3 linked regions of the Cricetulus griseus genome follow. The protein of the gene in region 2 binds, or shares a complex with, the protein of the main gene of each other region. Links are inferred from orthologs where the notes say so. Each region holds a gene or a part of one and is shown on either strand. Other genes may lie near its edges. The genes, in order: Naa10, Hypk and Naa50.

What was found.
Region 1: the proteins of Hypk (region 2) and Naa10 are in contact, whole or in part, in a crystal structure (PDB 6C95), measured with the Homo sapiens proteins. The link is inferred for Cricetulus griseus from reciprocal best matches to the Homo sapiens genes HYPK and NAA10. Residues at the interface, in NP_057484.4 of Homo sapiens: Lys27, His28, Ser30, Gly31, Asp34, Leu35, Arg37, Val38; in NP_003482.1 of Homo sapiens: Glu24, Tyr26, Lys29, Tyr30, Tyr33, Lys59, Glu134, Lys136, Tyr137.
Region 3: Hypk (region 2) and Naa50 share a complex: the UniProt entries of both Homo sapiens proteins name them as parts of the N-terminal acetyltransferase E (NatE)/HYPK complex. The link is inferred for Cricetulus griseus from reciprocal best matches to the Homo sapiens genes HYPK and NAA50.

Annotation. Positions count from the first base shown.
Region 1 is NC_048604.1:1,832,192-1,835,196, forward strand, and holds the end of Naa10 (N-alpha-acetyltransferase 10), read left to right. Parts: intron 1-1,349; coding exon 1,350-1,434; intron 1,435-2,018; coding exon of another isoform or gene 2,019-2,109; coding exon 2,110-2,343; 3' UTR 2,344-2,419; downstream 2,420-3,005. UniProt on the Homo sapiens protein: Catalytic subunit of N-terminal acetyltransferase complexes which display alpha (N-terminal) acetyltransferase activity. Acetylates amino termini that are devoid of initiator methionine.
Region 2 is NC_048599.1:56,958,869-56,962,131, reverse strand, and holds Hypk (huntingtin-interacting protein K), read left to right. Parts: upstream 1-1,245; 5' UTR 1,246-1,267; coding exon 1,268-1,453; intron 1,454-1,956; coding exon 1,957-2,012; intron 2,013-2,292; coding exon 2,293-2,344; coding exon of another isoform or gene 2,345-2,352; intron 2,353-2,481; coding exon 2,482-2,577; 3' UTR 2,578-2,643; downstream 2,644-3,263. UniProt on the Homo sapiens protein: Component of several N-terminal acetyltransferase complexes. Inhibits the N-terminal acetylation activity of the N-terminal acetyltransferase NAA10-NAA15 complex (also called the NatA complex).
Region 3 is NC_048597.1:46,254,647-46,258,300, reverse strand, and holds part of Naa50 (N-alpha-acetyltransferase 50), read left to right. Parts: intron 1-1,161; coding exon 1,162-1,339; 3' UTR 1,340-3,654. UniProt on the Homo sapiens protein: N-alpha-acetyltransferase that acetylates the N-terminus of proteins that retain their initiating methionine. Has a broad substrate specificity: able to acetylate the initiator methionine of most peptides, except for those with a proline in second position.

The sequences.
Region 1 (3,005 bases), on a different chromosome or scaffold from region 2:
CTGTCTCGAAAGAAAAAAAAAGAACATACAAAGCTTCTTAGTGCTGGTCTAAGAGTAAAGAGAGATGATTAGGGCATGAGCAAGGGTTGAGAAGTGACTGGCACCAGGAAGCATTGGGTGAGAGGAGATGAAAGGGGATGGCAGAGAAAAAGGGCCATGAACAAAAGTAATGAGGGACCTATAGCTCTGGATGTCCTGATAATTGATGGCAGGTCTACTCAGGACACAGGCATCTCCATGAGACTAGGATTGGAGAAAGGAACTGGCAGTGCCTACTGCCACTTGAAAGTGGGGCTGGAGTGAACTGATTGGAGGACCCATTGAGTCACACTAGGCTTTGATGGGGTAGAGTGAAGATGGGACTATTGGGACAGGACAGTGGCCTTCAGGCTTTTCTGAGTTCACTACCTAGATTCATGGAGATCTTTGACCTAGTTAAGTATGCCTTTGGTGGGGACTGCTTCACATGCAAAGTGAGCAATTCCCAGCTAGGTGTGGTAGTACATGCCTCTTAATCTCCGCATTCAGAAGGCACAGGACTGTGGGTTAAGGGCCTGGCATAGGGAGTTCCAAGTCAGTCTCAGCCACACAGCAGACCCTGTCTCAAAAGGGGGGTCCTAAGGAGATAGCTTAATTGTAAGAACCTGAGTTTGATTCCTGGCACACATGTATAAAAGCCACATACAGTGCCCTGTACCTATTATCTTAGTGCTGAGGAGGTTAAGACAAGAGAATCCCTGGGTACACTAACCAGTCAGCCTAATTGAATGTTCAAGGTCCAGATTCAGTGAGAGACCCTATTTTGAAAAACATAAAGTGGCCAGGCGTTGGTTCCGCACGCCTTTAATTCCAGCACTCAGGAGGCAGAGGCAGGAGGATGTCTGTGAATTTGAGACCAGCCTGGTCTCCAGAGCGAGTGCCAGGACAGCCAGGGCTACACAGAAAAACCCTGTCTCAAAAAAAAAAAGTGGGAAGCAATTGAAGAAGATACCCAACATATATCTCTGGCCTACACATGTACACATGAGGATGTGTATACACACAGCAGTTCTCTTGTCTTTAATGTCTTAAGAATTAAGGGCTTCACTCAAAAGACACAAGTCCTTGCTATTCAGGCTAGGGACAGAGAGCAGTGGCAAGTTTAGGGATGGGAAGTATCCTGGATGCTACATTGCTGCTTGGCTTTACTGAAGAGAACAGAGAAAGCCATCATGGCTGTTGGAAAAGAGTCCATTCAATGAAAAATTTAAAAAAATCAATTCAGGCTGGCTTTTGCCTCCCCTCTGCAGAGGGAGATGACAACCACCCTAGTAGCCTAAGAACCAGGTGTGTCTCCATCCTACCCCCAGGATCAGTGAAGTGGAGCCCAAATACTATGCAGATGGCGAAGATGCGTATGCCATGAAGAGGGACCTTACACAGATGGCTGATGAGGTAAGAGTTCAGCCAGGCCAGGGCAGCAATTCCAGCAGTAGAGGGGATTCCAAACTTGGGAAAGGGGGCTACTTAAGAGCTGTGACTCCAGGGGCAGTGGTGGCTGGAGGGAAGACTAAGGTTGATTGTCAGCACTTGTAGCTATAGTGGTAGGAGTCAGAGTCCCCCTTTCCCTCACTTCCTAAGCCTACAAGTAGGGGCATGGCCTTGGTTGATCATAGAGGAGGCCATGAGATGTTCTTGGGGGAAGAAGCCTGCAGGTGGAATAGGAGAGACAGTAGGAAGAGTTTTCTTTCTATCTCGGGACTGGGATTACTAGGGCCAGGGGCAGTCATGGCCAGCCTGTTCAGATCTAGGACCAATCTGGGCTGGGAAGAAAGGGTTCCTGACCAAGCCTCCTGGGGCTAGGGCAATTCATGCTGTGTCTTGGGAGCTCCCCAGAAGCCCACTTGAGGGCAGCAGGACCCTTGACATTTTACAGATGAGGAAACAGGCTTGGGGCAGAGCTACCATTGAACTGCATCTCTACCCAGTCCTATTTCCTGCCTTGGCCCTACTGCCTCTCATTGTATCCTTCCCCACAGCCAGCCCCAGGGTCTGGCTCCTCTTGTCTCCTGTCTGGAGACTTAGGCCCTATCTCTTTCAACCCGCTTCCCTCTGGGCTCCCGTCGGCAGCTGAGGCGGCACCTGGAGCTGAAAGAAAAGGGCAGACACATGGTGCTGGCAGCCACGGAGAACAAGGCGGAGGGCAAAGGCAACATGCTTCTGAGCTCGGGAGAGGCCTGTCGTGAGAAGAGTCTGGCTGCTGAGGACAGTGCTGGGGACAGCAAGGACCTCAGCGAGGTCAGCGAGACCACAGAGAGCACAGATGTCAAAGACAGCTCAGAGGCCTCTGACTCTGCCTCCTAGAGCCTGCCCCACCTGGTTCAAGCCTCCCCCCATGTGCTTTTACAATAAATGTGGTCCTGTGGCCTTGGGGAATTTGTGAATGTGCCAGCTCCTTCATGGTGGGGATATCATCTTCACAAACCAGAGCCCACTTAGCTCACAAATCATTTGGCGAATCTGGCTACCTTCAGCAACTGAGTAGGGTTCAGCTTAGGTGCCCTATTCTGTCACCTTCCTGGCCTGCAGGCCCCATTGACTTCCTTACTAATTTTCCAGGGCTGAACTAAATGATTCCTTGGGGCTTTCTAGTCAGCCTCGGGTTTCAGAGGCATCTTTCCCACCTTGATGCTCTTGGCTGTGCTGCTTCGACCTCTTAGGTCCCACTCTTAGCCCTTACTTTTAGAGAGGCTGTATCTCCTTGCCACTACACCCAGTTTATACAGTGCTTGAGATCTAACTCAGGGCCTCTTGCCCATTAGACAAGCACTCTAGGAACGGAACCACACTCCTAGCCTTAACTGTTGGCCTCAAAGTCCTGATCCTTTAAGGGGTTCTTCAAATTCTGCCCTTCACCATTACCAGGCTAATCTCTTTTGTTTACTCAACTTCTTGAGACAAATTGTCCTTAGCCCAAACTGGCCTGGAACTCATACCCCAGCTGGCCTCAAACTTGTGGTAATCCT
Region 2 (3,263 bases):
CAAATGTTACAGGTTTCTTTTCCTCACTTTGCAGCCCCTGCCAACTTACCCCTTATGCTTTGCCCCAGACCCCTTCTACCACTGTCCTAGATAGCAGGAGGCAGATTGCTGAGGTCCCCAAATGGAGAAGGATATAGAGCAGTAGGCTACTAGAAGACTCTGAGAGAGGGCCTCCTAGAGTGGTTGGGAGCTGGTCAAAGAAACAGGCCCACACACAGCAAGACACTGAGGATAGAGCAGACATAGGATGCAAAGGTGAAGCTTTGCAAGGGTGATGTATACTGTGTGGGGTTAATCGAAGGTAAAATCCCAAAATCCTCAATCCTACCATCTTGTGGTGAGCTACGTAGGATTGCCTTTTCTAAACACTAGCAAGATTTTCATTGTAAGACCTTAGTATAGGCTTGAACCACCTATTTTTCCCTAAGGCTATATGGATGGGAATGTGGGATGAGAGGTTTACTGACTACTGAGGCAAAGAACCGGGTTTGCCTCCCCAACTCTTTTCCAGCCAAGGGCATCTTCAAGTCTGCCCCCTCCAATGCCCTCTCACCTGATAAAAGGGGGTTTTCACTATGACATCGCCGATTCCACCGTGCTGCTGTGCAAGGCCCTGGCTGGTGGTCTGGGCTGTCACCGCTTTTGCTCCTATCATTTTTGGCCCAGAGGTTAGGCATAGATCCGTTACTGGAAGAGCTGATGAGGAACAGCAGCTTCTCAAGAATTTTGCCCATTGGGCAGTCGCTGTGCTGGGCTAGTCACTCAGTCTTAAAGTAGTAGAATGGGCATGTTAGAAAATGAATACAGATCATTAGGAAGTGGTAAATGCAAATACTTTTGTGAAGATTCCTTCACTGGGCTTCGTATTCCGGATCATTTGGACTGTCTTCTGAGATTAGGAGTAGTTGGCCTATCTGATCTGGGGATTAGTTTTTAAAATTGGTTTAGGATTTAGCCATCGGCCGCCTTGGTTGGTCAGAATTCCTTGGGGGGGGGTGTTGTGGGAGGGCGGGAAGGGGAAGGAGTGAAGGGATATGAAAGGATTGTTCTTCGGTGAAGAAGTGAGGCTGTGCATTTAGGTGGTGTGGGTAGTGAACAGATTAGTCGAAGGAGACTGCAGAAAACACAAGCCTGAGAGGAGGTCAAAAGCGAACCAACCGCCTTCCTAGCAGAAGCTTCTCAAGACAGGCACAAAGATGCGGTTCACAGCCTGCCCCGCCCCTATCTGGGCGGAAGCTGTTTGCCGGAAGTCGTGAAGCGGCAGCGTATGCGGCGGCGCGGTGAGATCGAAATGGCGACCGAGGGAGATGTGGAACTAGAGTTAGAGACCGAAACCAGCGGCCCAGAGCGGCCTCCCGAAAAGCCACGGAAGCATGACAGTGGTGCTGCTGACCTGGAGCGGGTCACTGACTATGCGGAGGAGAAGGAGATCCAGAGTTCGAATCTGGAGACGGTGAGGTTGACCGGGAGCTTGTATGAGAGGGCTTGAGAACGGGGTAGGGGTGATTTGAGACTGACCCGTTTGCTCCGGCAGATCGCGATAGTGGGAGTAGGCAGTAGGATGGGCATCAGCGACAACACTCACCCAGTCCGCGAGTTGCTTAAGAATGTGATGGAGATTGGGCTTAAATGGATCTCAGGTGCAGGGAATTAAGTGTGGTCTTTTGGTCCCGAGAACACTGGTCATTGTGAATACTTGAAGAATCACGTGGTTTTTATTTTATTTGGTTTTTCGAGACAGGGTTTCTCTGTGTAGCTTTGGAGCCTATCCTGGCCCTCGCTCTGGAGACCAGGTTGGTCTCGAACTTACAGATCCACCTGCCTCTGCCTCCCGAGTGCTGGGATTAAAGGCGTGCGCCACCAACGCCCGGCGTGGTTTTTATTTTTGGTTTTGTGTTTTAGATAGGAAAATTTGGGTCTCATGGTGGTAGGTAACTAGACTCGTGTTTCCTACAGGCTATGTCCGTCATTGGAGACAGACGGTCCAGGGAGCAAAAGGCAAAACAGGAGCGGTAAGTTTAAAGCACACTGTCAGCGTAAGGGGTCCTCATTCTCCAGAAAAAAAACAAGTTTTTAACCAATTCCTGTAGATCTAGGGTTTACAACTTTGTTGTAGTGACACTGTTTTTAGGGGAAGGAAAGCCTCCAGTGGGAGGGGTGGGCACATTTATTTAATATTTTCAGTCAACCTTATTCCACCTGTTTGCAGTGTGAAATTGGGATGTTACTTTTGGGAGTTTATGGCAGAGGTTGAGGATGAAGACAGATGCATATATACACATATATTCACAGGGAAAAGGAGCTGGCGAAGGTCACGATCAAGAAGGAAGATCTGGAGTTGATAGTGAGTAGTAATGCTTGGATGGATGCACAAGAGAAATTCTACTTAATTTGGGTTCCTAACAAGTGGAGTCAGGGATTAGTTGACACTTTTATGCCTGAGAGGAGGCATCGGTGACATGATTTACTCTTTCCTTGCAGATGACAGAGATGGAGATCTCTCGAGCAGCAGCAGAAAGGAGCTTGCGGGAACACATGGGCAACGTTGTGGAGGCTCTTATTGCCCTAACCAACTGATGATGTGCTTTTTCAGACATTCTGGACTGATTTACTGAAATAAAGTGTTTTATTATGCTGTTCTTTTTTTTTTTTTCAGTTTTATCTCAGATTAGATGCATTATATATTTTTGTTGTCATTTTCTATGTTGGACCTTCATGAAATTATGAACAGTCAATATAAAGAAGTACCTAACGTTTAAATACAGGCTCTATTATTATTATGCTTATTTTGTGTATGCGTCTGGGCATTTTCCTGACATTGTGCTTGATGTCAGATGACAACTGTACTTCCACCATGTGGGAATCGAACTCAAGTGCCCTTTTCCAAAAAGCTTTTCACCAGCCTTAAATAACATTCTAGGTGGTATGCTAGTCTCATTCATCTGACTAGCTCTTGGTAATATAGAGTACATTGGTATCCTCTGTAAAAGATCCAACTACATGTGCTTCTAGGATAGTTTGTGCATTTTATTTTTTTCAGATAGGTTCTTCCTGTGTAGCCCAGGGCGTTCTCAAACTCAGATGCCTTCACTTAATACTTGAGAGCTGCAATTTCAGTCACCTTTCCCAACTCTCTAGGCTAGCTCATGAATACCAAAGGACTAGCTCCTACTAGGGTTTTTTAAGTTACCAACCTCATTCATAGGCTACTGGAGTAAAAATTCAGGTTCTGGATGTGGGAATATAGAACATAGAAATGTGTC
Region 3 (3,654 bases), on a different chromosome or scaffold from region 2:
ATAAAATAATTTTTAGAAAAAAAATTGAGTGCATTTATTTAAGATGTCACAAATTCATATAAAAGTGCGTACTATTTACAGATGACCTATTCCTATCCTCCCATTCTTTAAAGTGACGTAATTTACTTAGGATACCTAGAAAAAAGAAAATGATACAGAAGTTTTTAGACAACTTTATATTTCAGGATTTATTGAATTGTGGTTGGAAATTGTGGGTGATGAGTATTCTTGTTATATTTGGTTTTAGTTATATATAAGGTACCTAAAATGAAACCAAGATTGCAATCTAGGTATTCAGAAGTTTGAAATCATTAATACCAGTAATAGTTGATATATTTTATTCAAGGTTATCAGTAACTTGCTCATTTGTAATAGTTTAATAATCAAAGTTAGAGATAACCTAGTTGAGATTATACTTGAGTCTCAGAAGGCTTCAGTATGAAGAGCCAAGACAGCTTGGCATGGTGGCTCATGTCTTTAATCCTAGCACTTGCACTCAGGTGGCAGAGGCAGGTGGATTACTGTGAGTTTTAGGCCAGCCAGAGAGAGACCCTGTTTCAAAATCAACTAACAAACATAAAGAGCTAAGATAAAAATCACAACAACAGATTGTTTCATATTCATATTGGGGGAGATTAAATTATGCAGTGTCATTCTGGAGCGTAATGAAAGAAGCTCAAGAAGATATATTTAGGCAATTGAGACTGAAATGTATTTTTGCTGTTGTTTTTAGTGTCTATCTTTTCTGGGAGGGGCATGTGCACGAGGTTACAGGTATCTAAGGAGGCTAGAGACGTCAGCAATCTCGAGCTGAAGTTACAGGTGGTTGTGAGCTGCCTGGTGGCAGTGTTGGGTCAGACAGAACTCTGATCCTCTGGTAGACTGAGCCTCATCTCATGATAGTTTAACCTTTGTTATATATAAAAATAGGCACTGATCCTCCTAATCTCAGCCTTCTGCCTTGCAAGTGGGGGAATTAGGTTAAAACTGTAAAATTGTTGTCAGGTTTACTGATAACGAATTGACTAACCTTTGTTAAATATTGGTCATTATAAAGAAAGTGTACAAAATGTAATAGTCTACCTCTGACCAATTTGAAGCTATGTGTGGTTAAGAGTTGAAAGTTGATGAAACTGTCTTATATATGTATCTATGTCTCAGGCATGTCCAGATCAGCAATGAGTCAGCGATTGACTTCTACAGGAAGTTTGGCTTTGAGATTATTGAGACGAAGAAGAACTACTATAAGAGGATAGAGCCTGCAGATGCTCATGTGCTTCAGAAAAACCTCAAAGTCCCATCTGGTCAGAATGCAGAGACACAAAAGACAGACAACTGAACAAATTACAAAAGAACTTTCTTGCACTTGCTTGTCGCCAAATAAAAGAAAGACCCATTGATTCCCCTCCCCCTTTCTTCAGCTTTTCTCCCTTGATATTCCTCCTTTCTTTCCTCTTAAAGTTTGTAATACTTTCAAGGACTCTTAAAAATGATCATGTTTGGATTGTTTCAGTTCTCTTATTTTTGTGAGGTGGTTGGGTTGAAGGAAAGAGAAAATAGGTCTGTATAGTTTCACAGTTAAGATGTCCTCTCAAATTGGGTATCAGATGATTTCAATTTTTTTTAACATCCTGCTTTCACATTGAAGGGCAGAGCCTACAATATTGTTTATTTCAAAAAAAGCCACAGCAATATCTTATTCTCTAATTCATAGACAAGCTTAGTGTATTTGTGGTACTTTGAGTTTTAAAGACTATCTGTGGGATGTTAATCCCTGACATTGCCTTCACTCTACCTTTAGTCCTTTGAGTACTCTCAGGAGTTGGACCATTGTTATCCTTGTGAGAAAATACTAAGCTGATTTAGGGTTTTAAAGCAGTTTTTCTCTATTTGCTGATTGCTGGGGCTGTTTGTGTAGTTAGTATTAGACTTTGATCAAAGTATTTCAGTTAAACTGCTATTTAGCTGATGAGTGGGTTGCTTGTTGGCAGGTGTTTTTTTGTTTTGTTTTTGGTGTTTGTTTTGGTTTGGGGTTTTTTTTTTTTTTTTCTTCCTGCTGTTAATCTTGTTGCTAGAGGCATTAACTTGTAGAGTATGAGCTGGTGAAATTAACTGTTTTAATATCCCAGCTAGAGATACGGCCTTTAACTGACCTAAAGAAGATTGTTACAATTGATTTTTTTCTCTTGTTTTTCAGTAAGCCCAATAATAGTGTAACCTTAAATGGAGTTATATCCTTATAAGCCAATACCCCTAAATAAACCCGAAGCAAGTGTTTTCTCTTGGACATATAAAATTACATATAAAGCTTAGATGGACTTGTAACACATTAAGTGTTACCTAATGTCAACTAATACAGATTGTTAGAACTGTGGTCATTGAGTGTTTGATAATATATGAAAGAATTTCTAGACAGTATTTTTGAAAATAACATTGTTATGCTATTGCTTATCTGTTGGAGAACATCCCAGATTTGCTTACACTCTGTGCCTACAATGTTGAGTTTAAAGAGTTGGAATAAGAGGAATTGACAAATTCCTTCTATTCTTGGAACAATAGAAGTATGAAGTGTTAATACAAATATCACTGTGACCTCCAGTTGACAGGTTTGGTTAAGGCCAGATCATTTACAGGCACATTGGTAGTGGCTCTGATGGGTTGAGAACTATAATGTGGAGACATGTGAGATACTCATATTTTCCTCACATAGCCTCATCTCAAAATACATGGCATTTCTTAGATTGTCAGTAGTCATCAGTGGCTCGAGAAATGTTCTTACTAGACTTTAAAACAGAACATAGTATGTTTTCTCTCATTTGACTTTAAAAGGAAGTTTAATATATCTTCTTTGGAAAATTGTGGTATGAAAGTCTTATTTCCAAATAGGTTAAAAAAATGCTTATGCACACTTTATAACTCTTAAGTTTTTTGCTTGTTTTGTTTTGTTTTGAGAATGTGAAAGTACATTAAGTGGACTTCAGTAGTCTTGAGTGCCAAGAAAATACAGACAAGGGGTGTGATTGATGGATGGACGGACGGATGGATGGATGAATAGGGTAGTGAAATTGTAGAAATACCATGCTTGTTTCTTGGGTATCAGTTTTCTAGACAGTCCAAATCTAAGCTCAAAAGAAAAGTTTAGTGTTAAGCACCTTTATTTCCATGGATAAGCTTCAGCTTACTCTTGCCAAGAGAAGAAGGCATAAATGATAGAGTGGAATTAGTTTGAAGAAGTCAGCCATTTTGTAAACTTCCAGATAGCAAATAGATTTTGATATATAAAAAGTTTTCTGAGATGACACTGCCTCTATTTCTATAACCATTTCACTTGGACTATTTGAGTAGTCCTATGAATGTATCCCTAAATGTGTTTATTGAAACCGAATAGCTGCCTCACAACAATTAAGTACATGTTATTTAAAGAGGAGGAACAAATAATAAAGTTTGAATTGAGTGTGTAGGCTCCCTATTATTATTTCCTTTTTCACACTAGTCGGTGATTTAACCTAAATTTTAATTGTATGTAAAGGGTCAATTGTCCTGTATCAAAGTTGCATTAAATAATTCCATCCACTTACATAAGGGGAAGATGTGAAAGAGGTAGAAACTGGGGCTAGTCCATATGCCTGTGAGTCAAGAAATGCTAAAGTAACA